Linked DNA regions of Saccharomyces cerevisiae S288C. Changing the gene in region 1 together with any one later gene gives a genetic interaction. Each region holds a gene or a part of one and is shown in the gene's direction. Other genes may lie near its edges.

The links.
Region 2: mutations in SRF1 (region 1) and SNF11 together harm fitness more than expected from each alone (negative genetic interaction), as found in Saccharomyces cerevisiae (one large-scale study listed by BioGRID).
Region 3: mutations in SRF1 (region 1) and YNL134C together harm fitness more than expected from each alone (negative genetic interaction), as found in Saccharomyces cerevisiae (one large-scale study listed by BioGRID).
Region 4: mutations in SRF1 (region 1) and RSM7 together harm fitness more than expected from each alone (negative genetic interaction), as found in Saccharomyces cerevisiae (2 studies listed by BioGRID).

Annotation. Positions count from the first base shown.
Region 1 is NC_001136.10:220,098-224,894, forward strand, and holds SRF1 (phospholipase D regulator), read left to right. Parts: upstream 1-2,329; coding exon 2,330-3,643; downstream 3,644-4,797. Other genes in the region: phosphoprotein phosphatase 2A catalytic subunit PPH21, read right to left, coding at 1-674; 60S ribosomal protein eL41 RPL41B, read right to left, coding at 1,627-1,704; cullin CDC53, read left to right, coding at 4,207-4,797. UniProt on the Saccharomyces cerevisiae protein: Regulator of phospholipase D (SPO14) which is required for SPO14 catalytic activity in mitotic cells. Essential to buffer the toxic effects of C16:0 platelet activating factor.
Region 2 is NC_001136.10:589,428-593,513, forward strand, and holds SNF11 (Snf11p), read left to right. Parts: upstream 1-3,011; coding exon 3,012-3,521; downstream 3,522-4,086. Other genes in the region: IPT1 (inositolphosphotransferase), read right to left, coding at 334-1,917. UniProt on the Saccharomyces cerevisiae protein: Involved in transcriptional activation. Component of the SWI/SNF complex, an ATP-dependent chromatin remodeling complex, which is required for the positive and negative regulation of gene expression of a large number of genes.
Region 3 is NC_001146.8:371,916-376,473, reverse strand, and holds YNL134C (uncharacterized protein), read left to right. Parts: upstream 1-2,892; coding exon 2,893-4,023; downstream 4,024-4,558. Other genes in the region: ribosome biosynthesis protein KRE33, read right to left, coding at 1-1,153; FYV6 (Fyv6p), read left to right, coding at 1,782-2,303; peptidylprolyl isomerase FPR1, read left to right, coding at 4,248-4,558.
Region 4 is NC_001142.9:637,696-640,916, reverse strand, and holds RSM7 (mitochondrial 37S ribosomal protein uS7m RSM7), read left to right. Parts: upstream 1-1,941; coding exon 1,942-2,685; downstream 2,686-3,221. Other genes in the region: TDA4 (Tda4p), read right to left, coding at 1-92; YJR115W (uncharacterized protein), read right to left, coding at 466-975; YJR112W-A (uncharacterized protein), read right to left, coding at 2,749-3,058, 3,108-3,127.

The DNA of each region.
Region 1 (4,797 bases):
CAGAAAATTTTATTATCTACTAATGCGGTTATAGGAAAATAATCGAAAAGATCTGTGAACATTTTCCACACGTTTGCACTGCCGTACTTTCTCAAACATTCATCATAAAACCCGTATACTTGGGTAATCTGCCTAGACTCGTGATTGCCTCTCAGTATCGTAATTCTATGTGGGTATCTGACTTTCATGGCAACTAGGTAAGATACAGTTTCAACAGAATAATATCCTCTATCCACGTAATCACCCATGAAAAGGTAATTGGTGTCAGGACAAGGGCCACCAATCTTAAAAAGTTCTAACAAGTCATGGAATTGACCGTGTACGTCACCACAAATGGTAACAGGCACGTTAATTGGTTTAACATTCTCCTCGAACTGCAACACGTCCACCGCCATTTTACATAGTCGTGCTACATCGTCTTCTGATAGTGGCTCGCATTTACTCAAATGCTCAATCCATTGGTCAAGCTGATTTATATTTGTGTTATTCAGTTCTAGTGGTTTGGAAGATTTGTGATCTGCTATGCCCGAGGAACCAGGTTTTAAATCATCAACCGAGAATTCTTCTGCATTATTATCCGATGAATTGTTGTTGAGATCCATATCTTCAGATACTGTGGGAGTCAGCTGTTCGGTAACAGCATCTTGCATAGGCACATCTAAATCTGTATCCATTTTTCTTTTTGTTTATTGTTTTATGCGATAATTTATATCCCTCTTTCCACTATGAACTAAATAGGGGCAAAATAATTTGTTTTTTTCTTTCTCTTTTGCCTTATTTCAAAAAACACAACCGGTAAAATTAACAGTTTAAAATTAGATAATAACTCTATTCAACCTGAACTCACTAAACTCTTACTAAATTACTGGTAAGGAAAGAAAACTAGGGGAAGACGAGTGAAAAAAGAGCAGTCCAACAGGTGTATTTCTAAGAAGAATAAAACACTTTTTGTAAATATCGTGTCCACTGGGGCAATTTAATTTACACTAAAACTAATTGGAGTATGTGTATATCAAAATCAATGAAAGTGCAGCGTCTGATTCACTAATTACCTCCTTTACTGTGAAACGGTGCGTCGAAAGGAACCTGTAACAAAAACCTGCTAAAAAGAATGCCGAACTAATGTAATCCGGAAAACTATTTCTACTACTATGTGTTAGTCGATTAAAATAGCCGAAAATCTTTCAAGCACGACAGAAAGATTCATTATCATTCTCCATTTCACAGGTATTCCATTTTCCGTTCATTTTTTCACTTTTTGATTTTATCCTTAAAACCCGCCCGGTTCATCACTTTGCACGCCACAGAAACCTCAGAATAAGCTAAAGGGTAATATAATAAAGCCCTTCGATTCAATAATAGCATTACCCAAGAGGCATAGCGGCAAACTAAGTTGACAACACAAAATCAAATCGCTTCATTTTTATTTTATTAATGATATTTTATTAGAGAGGAAATTATGTAATATCTAGATATTAAATATAAAGTAGATCTCTGTCTAAAATATTCTTAACAAAATCTTATATTCGAAAGGATGACGGTCCAATCAAAGGATTGTATAAGAGAAATTAGTTTTCGAAATCAATTTTTACTTGACCTGAACTTAACGATTTGCTCTCAATCCGCTTATTTGGATCTGGCTCTCACCTTCCGTCTCTTTCTCTTAAGTCTTCTAGTTCTCTTCTTTCTCCACTTAGCTCTCATTTGGAATTAAGTCGATATGACTATCTTAGGATTGAAGTAAAATATAAGATGAAAACAGAAAACAAGCGAAATTTCAAAGAGAGAAGTGAAACAATAATGACGGATAACAATTATTTAACATTCAGAAATATTACATTCGTTAACTCTCCATATATATAAATCACCCCAGCAGAGGAAGATGGGATTTCTGCCAGCAATGATGACGGGTAAATGGATAGCATCGCAGCTGCGACACCTTTTCCATGGTGCGACACGCGTCGTACAATGACCTAAAAATCCTAAAATAAAATAAGATGAATCTAATAAGGAAAGGTACTGGTGAAATGAGATAAGGGTGTACGGGTGTGGTAACCGTCGTGAAATAAAGAAAGCATTCTGAACGATGAATACTAAATAAGGGAAAGTGGAAATAAACGAAGTGTCGAAAGAGGAGAAGAGGTCTTGGCTTTCATATAGTGGAAGAAATTCTAAGCTACAACACAAAGTCTCCAACCACCTTTTGTTTAGTCAATTATAAAAATACTTTGATTGCTATTTCGAAACCGTGAGATTGCTGAGAAGGGAAAGTGAATGATATTTTTTTGCATTTTTTGAGGCGTTCTTTTTTTTTACACTGACAAATTTAATGGGGGATTCTAATTCCAGCCAAGAAGCGTATTCTGATACAACATCCACGAACGCTTCTAGAATCGCAGATCAAAATCAACTTAATTTAAACGTGGATCTTGAAAAAAATCAAACAGTAAGGAAGTCAGGTTCACTGGAAGCATTACAGAATGCAAAGATACATGTTCCCAAACACAGTGATGGTTCACCACTAGACTATCCAAAATTAAATACTTACACGTTTGTGCCTACCACAGTGCCGCCTTATGTTTTAGAGGCGCAGTTTGATAAATTAAGACTTCAGGATAAGGGCACCGTTGATGGAAATGTTACCGATGATAAAAATCTTCCAAAAGAGTTTAAATGGGGCCAGTTTGCATCTACCATCGGCTGTCATTCTGCATACACTAGAGACCAAAACTACAATCCTAGTCACAAATCCTACGATGGTTACTCTCTATCATCATCTACCTCATCAAAAAATGCGGCTCTTAGAGAAATTTTAGGTGACATGTGCAGCGAGTGGGGAGGTGAAGAACGACTAGAAGGTGTTCTACATTCAGAAATAGGTGCCAATTTAGAGTTCAACACGACAGAAGAGAGAAAAGAGTGGTTACAATATATCGAAAAGGTAAAAGATTTCTATTACGGTGATAATAAGAAGAACCCAGAATCACCCGAATCAGTACACAACAAAGTTTACAAGTCAGATTGGGTAAATGAGCTCAATAAAGAGAGAGAAAAGTGGCGGAGGTTAAAGCAAAGGAAGTTACAACAGTGGAGACCTCCTTTGACGTCGCTATTACTTGATAATCAATATTTGATTTTGGGTTTGAGGATTTTCACTGGTATATTATCGTGCATTTCACTTGCTCTGGCAATCAAGATTTTTCAAAACTCAAGATCAAATAACACCATCAGTGAAAGTAAAATCGGGCAACAACCAAGCACCATAATGGCCATCTGCGTCAACGCCGTGGCGATTGCGTATATTATTTACATTGCACACGATGAATTTGCTGGTAAACCTGTTGGTTTGAGGAATCCGTTAAGCAAACTGAAACTAATTTTGTTGGACTTACTTTTTATAATTTTTTCAAGCGCTAATCTAGCGCTGGCATTTAATACTCGTTTCGACAAAGAGTGGGTTTGCACTTCTATTCGCAGGTCAAATGGAAGCACGTATGGATACCCAAAAATACCGCGTATCTGCAGAAAACAGGAAGCTTTATCCGCTTTTCTGTTCGTTGCCTTGTTTATGTGGGTAATCACTTTCTCGATCAGTATTGTTAGAGTAGTCGAAAAAGTCAGTTCAATTACCAACAGAAACTGAGCTCGACAAATATAGAAATTAAAAGAATTCTTTTAGATACCAAGATTGACATTTATATGCATTGTATATTTTTGACTTAAAAAATTACTCCGGCTTGGCATTTATTCATTAACGGCGGGTTTGATTATATTAGGCTTTGTGCGATATAATATGTATTACCCGAAGGGAGGGCTATTGCACTTTCTTTTCCTTTCCGTTTTAAGGGCCCTTTTTCATTTCGATGTTTGATGGACACACATGAAGTGAAATGTGGCAAATAGAACATCTAGAAAAACTAGGGCATTAGGTAAAGTACCCCAGCAGAACTTCACTTTACAACGCAATTGATTCATATCACTGCTCTTTTATATTGTCCTTTTTCTCTTTTAGAGCTTTTCATCCGCATCTTCTAACTTCTGTGCACCCCTTTCATTGTTGATTACATTTTACCTCAGTTACACATTTCTTTTAGCAATTCGACATTGCTTCTACTTACCGATAAATAAGCGTACATTTTTGAGTCTTGAAAGGATTCTTACATATACCTAAACAAAGAATAACAACAAAATCGCAAGCAGCAAAGCATGTCTGAGACTCTGCCTAGATCTGATGATTTAGAGGCCACTTGGAACTTTATAGAGCCAGGAATTAACCAAATACTGGGTAATGAGAAAAACCAAGCATCCACGTCTAAGCGAGTTTACAAAATTCTTTCTCCAACCATGTATATGGAAGTCTATACCGCAATTTATAACTACTGTGTGAACAAATCACGCTCGTCTGGACATTTTAGTACTGACAGTAGAACTGGCCAATCAACAATTTTGGTTGGCAGTGAGATTTACGAAAAGTTAAAGAATTATTTGAAGAATTACATTTTAAATTTTAAGCAGTCTAATTCAGAGACCTTTTTGCAGTTTTACGTCAAGCGCTGGAAAAGGTTTACAATAGGTGCCATTTTTTTAAACCATGCATTCGATTATATGAATAGATATTGGGTTCAAAAGGAAAGAAGTGACGGCAAAAGGCATATTTTTGATGTAAACACCTTGTGCTTGATGACATGGAAAGAAGTCATGTTTGATCCGAGTAAAGATGTTTTAATAAACGAATTATTAGACCAGGTAACCTTGGGAAGGGAGGGGCAAATAATTCAAAGAAGTAATATTAGCACT
Region 2 (4,086 bases), 370 kb from region 1:
TATTGGTGTTATTTTTTCTCCGAGAAAAGTATTCTGATGTCCAATTCTTCTTAATCTAGTTTGTTGTAAATTTTTCTTACAAACACTTGCTCCCGCTTCTTGTCCAGTGGGATGTTCGTCGTTCTTCCATTGCTTTTCCATTTTTGCCCGTTCAAAACTATTCTTTTTATGAATTGACAGAAAACCAAAAGCAAGCCGATTTCAGGTTAACCCTTTATTAAAATAAAAAAAAAAAGCATGCATAACACTAATAATATATTATTAAAAAAAAAGCCAATCTATATTATTTAAATTATCCGAAATTACTTTTATTACATTATGACATTCTATAGTCTATGCAAGCGGATCAAAAAACCATTCCATCTTGGTGCCACAAAATACTCTCATGCCAAAAGTGCGAGCTTCGTTTCTTGTATCCACTTTGTCGCCTAACCTTATATGAATCCACTTTTTTAAAACTTTTGGTTGTAAAACAAACCAGTTTATGATGATGAAACTTGTCATTGCATATAAAACACCAACGAAAAGGTCAAATCTATAATGGTGGTCCAGATACATGGTAGCCCACCATTGTAGTATTATATATAGGATAGCCCAGAATTTTGGTATAAACCCATCGTTGACTATTTTAAAAATCCATTTGTTTGTGAAGTTCGTGTCTTCATCATATAAATGGACAAACTGGAGAGGTTTCTTATTGCCATTGCTGTTAATAATGCTGCCGTCGCCGCCGCCGGTGCTTCTTTCATTACTGGATACGGTGAATGAAGATGAAGGGGAGGAGGACCGCTCATTTGAAATATCTACAGGCTCAACGGTACCCAATGGTTCCATCTCTAAGTCGTTAGGGCCAATCGTGGGCGGTATGCTATTGTCACCTTCATCTTCGCTGTCTTCCTCACTCAACTTGAAAGTGGAAGAATCATTATTGTGCATTGTGAAACCTCCAGCATTGGAAAATCTGTGTTTTAAGCTGGTGGACCTTGAAACCAAAAACAAGAAACATTGAAATGCAATGGCGGAGTGTAGTGAAGGAACAGCACCAAACACAATAGGAGACATGTGAAATCCTTTAGTGTTCAAATGAGTACCCAAATGGCTATCTACTCTTATCAAACCGGCAGCAAACCCTTCCTGGGTGTAATTAACATGTTCGGTGTCATCAATACCGTACAGATGAGTAAACCATGGGGAGGCCATTGGAACAAGCAGATGGGTAAGGACCCCCGCTATATTTTGTAATCCTAGGGCAAAACTAAAGCATTTTAAAGTCCCCGGTGGTTGGAAGACGTATAAGTATACAGCTGTTAAAATTGGAGCTGTCAAGTGCAGGATGACATAGGAGAACCAAGCCAGTAAATCCTTGGTCTTAGTAAAGTTTGCATCCGACTGGTAAGCAAAGAAATGATCAATGTTGAGTATAACAAATGTAAACAGGGGCAAGGCAAACGGTATGAAAATTGTCCGAAATCTCTTTTGGATCGGCCGCTGCTTGCGCTTGCAGGGGTAATGAAAAATATTTGCGAACCACTCTAACAGATTATAGTTAACGTGCTTAATGTAATAGATGTAGTACCAAATGGCAAAGGGAATACATATCAGAAATACTAAGAGAAATGCAGAAGATGATATGAATGACCAGAAAAATAGCTTCGAAGTATTATCGGGCAATTGTACAGTAAGTTCATGCCAATAGTCCCCAAAGAGGAATTGATCAGCAAAAAAAGCAAACTTGCTATGAATGTCAGGTCTGAGCCTTATGGGTATCAGACCAGCGCGCTTGAATATAGACAGCCAAATAAACACTGGCGCAAAATTAAGCATGAAGTTGAACGGCAGGCTTATTAGATTACGTTGGTTCAAACTTGCATTATACATGTTTTTGACGAAACTCGCCAAAGAAAATATGACATTCATGCTTTCTTAGACGTTGAAAGACTTTAGGTGATTCTTAGCAGAAATGATAACGTCCAACCGGTGAAATAAAGGAACAGTTAGGGTGGCAATGAAAAAGTAGCGATGCTTATGAAAACACTATGCCTTAGGTTTCCTTTTTTTATTTTTATTTGACAAGTAGCGATTACTCTTCTATTGTTCCTGGTTTTTGATGCTCGAATGTATTATATAAAAATGTTGTGGCCGGAGGTCTGCATTTCTAGGCATTTTTCCTTTTTCTTATTTTTTTTACTTTCCTACTAACTTTGCACTTCGTAAGAGAATTTACACCAGAACTCTCGATTGAGGCGAAGAAGGCGGAGAAAAAAGCCGGTAAAAAAAAAAAGCGGAATCAATCAGCACAATCAGAGGCGTCAAGAAGCGGCGCGGGGATAATGCTTTTTTCCCGTGGCGTTCACATTTTTGTTCCGCGGAAAGCACGTGAGCGTAATCCACTCGGGAAGGGCGCAGCTGCCGTGGCCAACTGAAGTAATCTTTAGCCGTTTATCGCCGCGCAAAACGGCAATTGCACTTGAGACCCCAACGGCGCTGTGCAGCAGGGTATTCTACTACGTGTTAGCTTGCCTTGCATTTCCCCATGCGTCTCGAATAGGAATTATTCAAGATGGATTATTGGCATTTACGAGTAACCAAGGATAACCCCGCTGTGCGGTGAAACCACCCTCTTTTCACGTTTCTTCAAGGCCAGTGCAAACGCGAATAAACATATCTACGCTATATATAGATATGACGTTTCTCAAGCCAACAGAAGTAGATAAAGCAGCCAGGAGGGTAGAGAGTGTTCAAATTATAGCAAGCCTTCTTCTACCTGTTTTTTTTTGATGATTGTTTTGCCGGGTAACAATCGACTTTCGGGCAAATTTTTTTTCCTTTTTTCTCCTAACAGTATATACGGAGTGGAGAACAGACTTCCCATAAAAGCATATTACGTGGGGTCGTAGTAAGATTGCCGTTTATGATACCCTCTATTCAGGGCTCAGAGCGCATCACGATCGGGAGTGTAAATTCAATGTGCATATAAGCAAAACACACAGATTTCCTTTTTTCCCAGAAAAATGAGCAGTGAAATTGCCTACTCGAATACGAACACCAACACTGAAAACGAGAACCGCAATACTGGCGCTGGCGTAGATGTAAATACAAATGCAAATGCAAATGCAAATGCAACTGCAAATGCAACTGCAAATGCAACTGCAAATGCAACTGCAGAGCTGAACCTCCCCACGGTCGATGAGCAAAGACAGTATAAGGTACAACTGCTATTGCATATCAACAGCATATTACTTGCTAGAGTTATTCAGATGAATAATAGTTTACAAAACAATCTACAGAACAATATAAATAATAGCAATAACAATAACATCATCAGGATACAGCAACTTATATCTCAGTTCCTTAAAAGGGTTCATGCCAATCTTCAATGCATATCTCAGATAAACCAAGGAGTGCCCTCAGCGAAACCACTGATCCTCACGCCTCCTCAGCTAGCCAACCAGCAGCAACCTCCACAGGATATTCTTTCTAAACTCTATCTTCTCTTGGCAAGAGTGTTCGAGATATGGTAGAATAACTTTGTTTCTCTTCCCTTTTTTATTTTGTTTTTTTTTTTTTACTTTTGCAATTTTAATTTTGCATTCAGCTACAGGTGTGATTGCATACCCGCAGAGCAAGTACAGGAAGCATAAGAAAAATAGAATACGAAAAGCAGAAAAAGAAAGGCAAATAACAATCACTCAAGTACTACAACTGCATGAATTTATCGTATGTAATGTACCCAACGTAAATAATAATATTAGTATTTTAAAATCTATGACATCAGATGTAGTTATCTTACTGCCAGCCCTATTAATACTACTTTCTTATTATCTTCTTCGAGAGCCACCTTCGTCATCGTCGCAGTAAGCATTGTCATCTTCATCATGCACGTCGGTAACGGAAGCCTAATCTCAATATCTACTAGTTTACTCTACGCCATTTGGAGCGTAGCCCCTTCTCCTTTTGACTCTCTGACTTTTCCCTCCCCTCCTTCTCTTCTGGCCTAGCCTAACCTAGTCTAGCCTCGCTGGACCCCCTCCTTCCAACGGTCAACCCCTTCCTTTCTATTCTCTTCTCGTTCTCTACGTAAGGAAC
Region 3 (4,558 bases), on another chromosome or scaffold:
CAACTAATTCAGCTTGGCCCAGAACTTGATGGTCTTGAGGAACAATATATTGAATCGTTTGTCTGTGATCTCTTTTAATATCAACTCTCACAATGGCTTTGTTGAAGTCGGGGTTCGTAGATTGAATGATATCATAATCAATGTGTTCTTGGTAACCTAAGGCATCGAATCCTTTGAAAATAAACTCAAATAGAGTCTTTAAATTTTCGGGAGATGGAGAAGTAACAAAAATATTAGAATACCCGTGAGAAACGGCCGCGGCAATAGAAATACCTAAAGCAGCAGACTTACCTCTACCTCTTCCAGCTGTTAGTGCAACTGTGAAATTCAAAGTTTTTTCCGAAATGGCATCAATGAAAGAAAGAATAGCGTGGGCTTGATTGACAGTTTTGGATAGAGAAACCAATGAACCAGCTGGTTGGACATCTTCTAAGGATTCTTTTAATTCTTGCAACTCTAATTGCTTTGGAGGCAATTCGTCATCTTCCTTAGGAGGTAGTGGTTTCACGTTTTTGGCACCAGATAGCGGTAGAACATTTAATTCATCATCAACGACTAAACAGTTTGGATTTGAACCTAAAGAAAGTATGAATCTTTCGTTAAATCTTGCAACAACGTCACCATGAGCCTCAGTACGATAACGGGCGTGAACATCCATAGTCATGGTGTACAGTTGCTTTAACGATGACATTGATTTCAATAAAATAACCACAATACCACCACCTTCTACAGTTTCAATGGTTCTTGCTAAAAGATTTGGGGTTAATGCCTCGAAGTCCTGAAGAATACACATACCATAGGTATTACCCAATATTTTCTCACTCTCTTTGTAGTATACATATCTGATATTTTGGTTAGAGATAAAAGATTCAAAAGGGTCCATTTCATTCACTTCCCTTGTACCTCTTTTAATTTCTTTCTTAATTTTATTCTCTCTTTTTTTTCTGTGCGAAGTGAATCCTAGAAGCTTCTTCTTATAAGCCCATAAGACGGACTTGTTCATCTTAAGGTCAGCACTCATCATCAAATAATGTAAATTTGGGAGCTGGTTACGTGCCCTGTCCCCAACGATGACAAATATGGACCTTTGTTTGGTTTGAACACCATTCCTGATCAGTGACGGGATTCTTGAATCGATAGCTTTTTTGGCCATTTTCTCCTTGTTTTATAAGTCTCTTATAAGTCTTTGCAAGTTAAAAACTAAGAAATATAAAAGGTGACTTGGCTTATATACTCTATTGCGTACTTTATTTGAGATAAATACAGAATCTCCATGCATCTTCAGCACCTCATCTCATCTCATTGTATCTTGGCTCTTCATTTTTTTTTTTCAAAATTTTTCACACGATTCCGGGTAAACTATTACTTTTTACAACTAATTCAGATATACCTGGGAAGTTACAATGGAAAACATGCAATGTTCGGTCTGGCTTGTATCATTTGATTGGAAAAGCGAGCATCGGTTGATACTGAACACATCCACATGCGTAATCATTAAAAAAAATTTTTCAAATTGCGAACTCTGTGGATCGAACACAGGACCTCCAGATGACTTGACCGAAGTTTTTCTTCAGTCTGGCGCTCTCCCAACTGAGCTAAGTCCGCTTATTTTTCTGAAACCTTTTCCGCCTTTTTGTCGTCCCTAGGAATTACTTTTGATGCACTGCCAATCTGAGGGAAAAATGACGTTTAAACGCACGAGAATGTGCAATTAGATGTAAGTCCATCGAAGCCTAGAGAAAGCGGTTCCAACAAAAGACTGTGGGCTCTGTTATATCATCATGTCATCTACCAGTGATAATAATGCTAATAGTGCAAGAGAGAAAAAACCACTGAAATTCGTGTCAGAAGGAGTTGGTAATGTAGAGGCCCAGAGGATACGAGAGCAAGTGGAGCAAAAAAAATATGAAGCGGAATATAAAAGGAAAACCAGGAAGTCCCTGCGAGATCAGCTTAGGTCTAATGCTATTAGTAAACAAAAACAATATAACGGTTTGGTGAGAGACCGTGAAAGTTTTACTAGGTTGAGTAAAGAGGACCTGGAATTTTACCAGAAGAGCAAGAATGAGTTGCTAAAAAAGGAAAAAGAACTGAATAACTACTTAGACGTCAAGGCAATCAATTTTGAAAAGAAAAAAAAAGCATTACTAATGGAGAACGATTCTACTACTAATACAGAAAAATATTTAGAGACCGGCACTAGTTTGGGCAGTAAAACACAAATAAAGGGCGTAAAGACATCCAGCCCTAAACCAAAAATCAAGGTATCCATAAAAAAATTGGGTAGAAAACTGGAGAACTGATGTGATGGCCTACACACTTCGTCACAACTAGAGCTTTATGCCAAGATTAAACTTCAAGTTATATAAATTATGTAAACATTGGACATACAAAACTCGGAAACTCTTTTTCTATTCATCTTCCCTTCTCGTACGTGCCCACGGAAGCAATAAAAAGAACCGAAATAACCAACACCCGTAACGTCAAAGCATTCATGCTTAGAATGGAAACCATTTCGTGGAATGAAATGGCAAATTGATCACATTGATTGCTCGTTCCACTACCTGTGTCCGCAATTTTTTAATGGTCATCACAGCCCCTGCTGACTAAAGTTCCTCGGATCCGCTTACGGTTGTCGCGCGGTTCCGCCCCTGCGTACTCTTAGTACCTAGCATATGGGCTCCCTCCGTTGGATTGGCATCGATTAGTAAGGACAGATGTTAAGGATTTAAGACCGTTTTTAAGGTATTTCGGCAATGCTTCGATTTAAAAGGAGAGAGTTTTTTTTTTGCCGTTTTCTTCCTCTCACTTCTTGATTAGTACTGTAATTCTAGTTGAAAAAAAATCGTTAACTATACACAGCAAAAAGCAATATCATACTGCATATCAAGCATGTCCGCCTCGATTCCAGAAACCATGAAAGCCGTTGTCATTGAAAATGGCAAGGCTGTAGTCAAACAGGACATTCCAATTCCTGAATTAGAAGAAGGATTTGTTCTAATTAAGACTGTCGCCGTTGCCGGTAACCCTACCGATTGGAAACATATTGATTTCAAGATTGGTCCTCAAGGTGCCCTCTTAGGCTGTGATGCAGCCGGCCAAATCGTAAAGTTGGGCCCAAATGTTGATGCTGCACGCTTTGCCATTGGTGATTACATTTATGGGGTTATTCACGGTGCTTCAGTGAGGTTCCCCTCAAACGGTGCCTTTGCTGAGTACTCTGCCATTTCATCCGAGACTGCTTATAAACCAGCCAGAGAGTTTAGATTGTGCGGTAAAGACAAGCTACCAGAAGGCCCCGTAAAATCTTTAGAAGGGGCAGTATCCCTCCCAGTCTCATTGACCACGGCTGGTATGATCCTTACACATAGTTTTGGCTTGGACATGACATGGAAGCCCTCCAAAGCGCAAAGAGATCAACCCATCTTATTTTGGGGTGGTGCCACTGCTGTTGGCCAGATGCTTATTCAATTGGCAAAAAAACTAAACGGTTTCAGCAAGATCATCGTCGTTGCTTCTCGTAAACATGAAAAATTGTTGAAAGAGTACGGTGCAGATGAACTTTTTGACTACCACGATGCTGACGTTATCGAACAGATAAAAAAGAAGTACAACAACATTCCTTACTTGGTGGACTGTGTCTCCAACACAGAAACTATTCAACAGGTGTACAAATGTGCCGCTGATGACTTAGACGCTACGGTCGTTCAATTGACCGTTTTAACCGAAAAAGATATCAAGGAGGAAGACAGGAGGCAAAACGTCAGTATTGAAGGAACCCTTCTATATTTGATAGGAGGTAACGACGTCCCATTTGGCACGTTTACTTTGCCAGCAGACCCTGAATACAAGGAAGCCGCCATAAAATTTATTAAGTTCATCAATCCAAAAATCAATGATGGTGAAATCCACCACATCCCAGTGAAAGTTTACAAGAACGGGTTAGATGATATCCCACAGTTACTTGATGATATTAAGCACGGGAGGAATTCTGGCGAAAAGTTGGTTGCCGTCTTGAAATAAATAATCTATAGCTACTTATGTATATAGCGCTTGATCATTCTGTTTACCTCCACATTATAGTGCCGTTCAATTCCCCTCACCCGCCTTAGTCTTTTTCGGGCAAAAAAAATTGCCGGAAGAGAGACGTCGTTGAAAGAATTTGGTGGATAAACTCGTGAAAGCTTAAAGTAAGGCCTTTCACCTAAACTCGAGTATAAGCAAAAAATCAATCAAAACAAGTAATAATGTCTGAAGTAATTGAAGGTAACGTCAAAATTGACAGAATTTCCCCAGGTGATGGTGCCACCTTCCCAAAGACAGGTGACTTGGTTACCATTCATTACACCGGTACCTTGGAGAACGGCCAAAAATTCGATTCCTCCGTTGACAGGGGCTCTCCATTCCAATGTAACATCGGTGTCGGCCAAGTCATCAAGGGTTGGGATGTTGGTATTCCAAAGTTGTCTGTTGGTGAAAAAGCTAGGTTAACCATCCCTGGCCCATATGCTTATGGCCCACGTGGTTTCCCAGGTTTGATTCCACCAAACAGTACTTT
Region 4 (3,221 bases), on another chromosome or scaffold:
GCCAGTATTAAATTAGACGAATGAGGGAAGAAGGACAGCTTTTCGAAGGGGCTGGTGAGGCCGATTGCTGTCGTGGTAGAGTTGGCGTTCATTGCGGCAAGAGCGATAGCTTAAAAATATTGTTTTTTTTTTCTCTTTTATTAAACTATGTTTTATACTGTTATGTTGCGTTGAGTTATGTCAAAATATTATGTTGCCTTGTATGTTTTTGGACCCGACAAAAACACAGGCTGAAAAGAAACACGTATGTATGTATATGTATATAAACATATGTGTGCATATATAAGTGCACGTATAGAAATAATATGCGATAAAAGTCTATTGTTCCTGGCTCATAAAACCTAGGAACTGAACGAGTTTTTTTCTTTGGTGATTCTGGCGTGATTCAACATTCGTATGCGATGACGGGCAGATCCGCGTCGTAAAAATGTTCTTAAGAAAGGAAAAGGGGAAAATGCATGCTAATCACATAATGCTAATGGGCCGGATGTTATTAGTGAGAGGAGAAGAGTCGCTGGATGCTGGGGAAGCGGAATGAGCTTCTGCAGTAGAAGAACCATCGGCAGCGTCACACAGTACTACCTCGCTGTCGATTTCGTCTATTTCGTCGAGGATCCTGTCCAGCATATTGGCGTGGCCCACCATTTTTCGTAGATCAAGTTCTCTGTGGTGGTGTCGAGTAAGGGCGCACTGAGACAGCTTGGAACGTATCTTGCTTATGTATAAGTATTGCTGAGGTATGGTCATGTACGGAGACATGCTGCTAAGCGGTGGGTGAGAGGTTGCCAACGAGGTGGGAGAGGGGAAAAATAACTTTAACACTTTAAAGAACTTCAAACTCAGTAGTCGTCCCCTCACACTAACTTGATCTCCTGTATATATATATATGTGTGTGTGTGTGTGTGTGTGTGTGTGTGTGTGTGTGTTCATCACCTTACTATTGTATATTAATATTGTACGTGTATTTGTGAACATGCACGTTCACTACGCTGCTGTTATGCTACTCTTCGACAGGGGTTGAAAAGGGCGGCTACGTAAATTTTGATCTGACAATGCAGTAAGCACAAACACTCTAAAAGATAAGTTTGCTACGACATCATCTACAGGAAGATTTCTTCGAGAACGCTTTAAGGTTTTTCGCTTTTAAATTATGACCCCGTGGTGTTTGGGTTAAATTACCAGTTGATGCGGGGGGGGGGGGGGGGGGGTTATATCAAAGTGGGGAAAACCGACTAAGGGCGGGCTTCTTTTGCAGTTGGCGTTGTGAGCGGGCATTGTGAAAGAAGAGCCAGGGTATATGGAAGATGGCAGACCCGTGTGGTTTCGGTTAAGCTGAGGCAGGGCGGGCGCGGTGTTGCGGGCGGGGCAGCGCCCGCAACATTCGGCGACTCGACGCGCTGCCAGGCTGGAAAGTTAGGACGGCGGCACCCCTGGTGGTTGCAAGGGTTTAGCTTATTTCAGAAAGGGATACTGGCCAGCAAACGTATTAGGGGCACACTATTGCCATTTTTGAGTATATCCATGGTTGCATGGTCGGACGCAAAGCTACTTTGCTCTGGTCACACTAAATAATCGCGCGGTCAATTATTTAGAGGTATTGGCGAGACATATGAGCACATTCCTCGTCGGTTTATTGTCTCGTGGTCATTTGCGTTAAATGATGAGCTAATACAGAGAGCAGAGCCAAAATGAAAAGCAAAAAAAAAAAAAAAAAAAAAGATAAAGCGATAAACATCGAGCCACGTGACCATATATGAGAAATGATCATCTGAAGAAGAAACAAAGTAGTTCTATACGGCTTTAAATGTTCGTCTTGGCTCCAATCTACATTTGCTTGAGAAATAGCTTACTACATACAATGCACATTATACACGTACAGAAAAGACAGCAGCTATCGTTTTCAGAAGAAAAATAGATAGATACGGATCTGAGGTGAATATAATGCTGCATTGTGCGAGGAGGTATATGTTAGTCAGGCCACGTCTCCTGTGGCAAAGTGGGACATGTGTTGCTCGTTTCCAGTCGTCAGTACGAACACCAGCTAGCGAACCATCGGCAGAGAAAGGGGTCGACGAGTGGCTTGAAGCGATCAACGAGCTAAGGGAAGAGTTCTCTGCAAAAGAATACCTGCCAGAGACCTCGCTGGCTCCACCGGGCCAGTCCAAAGTAGACCTCTTACAGGGTTCACAGGCGGGCTCCAAGATAAAGCCAACTGCAGAGCAGTTGGCACAATGGGAGGCACTGAAGTCCGTGCCCATTCCTCCACGCAAGAACGCAACGCTGGATCACATCACAAACATGATCATGCGCCACGGTAAGAAGGAAAAGGCACAAACCATTCTGTCCAGGGCCTTATATCTGGTGTACTGCCAGACCCGGCAGGACCCCATCCAGGCTTTGGAAAAGTCACTCGACGAACTAGCTCCGCTGATGATGACCAAGACATTCAACACAGGCGTGGCCAAGGCTTCTGTCATTCCTGTGCCTCTGAACAAGAGGCAAAGAAATAGGATCGCGTGGAACTGGATCGTACAAAGCGCAAACCAAAGAGTGTCGAGCGACTTCGCCGTGCGTTTGGGAGAAGAACTCACTGCCATTGCCAAAGGCACTTCGTCTGCCTTTGAAAAGAGGGACCAGATTCACAAGACAGCCATTGCTCACAGAGCATATATTCAATTAAAGTAATCTAGTCTACGTAAACTTGCCTGTACATAAACACATTTATATGATTTTCCGTATAATCTCTTTTTATCGGTCCTGGTAGAAGGCAATGCCCACACCAAGCAGACTGCCCCAGAAATTACAAATAATATCCTTCACATCGAACACCCTTTGTCCCCGCGAAACCACGCTTTGGGCGAATTCACTCGTTACACTTGCGCATAATGAACAGATCAGCACCCCTAACACGTACTTGTTGGCCTGTAGCTTGCGGAAAGTCACGATGTCCTCAGCAAACATCTTTACAAACAGCCACGACTCCCACATGAACACGACAAAGTGAGCAACTTTGTCGTTAGTCGACGTGATCGCTTGAAACACTTTGTTGGTAGTGATGCCTAAGATACGTGCATACCAACGAGCTTACCACGAACATATATACATACGTTCTTCTCAGCTGTACCATTGTTTGCTCTTGTGGTCTTTGGGTTCTTTCTATGTCTACTTTTTTCTCTGTTCGAGTTGATGTGAAAAGAAGTATGTCGCCTCGCTTTTCGCCT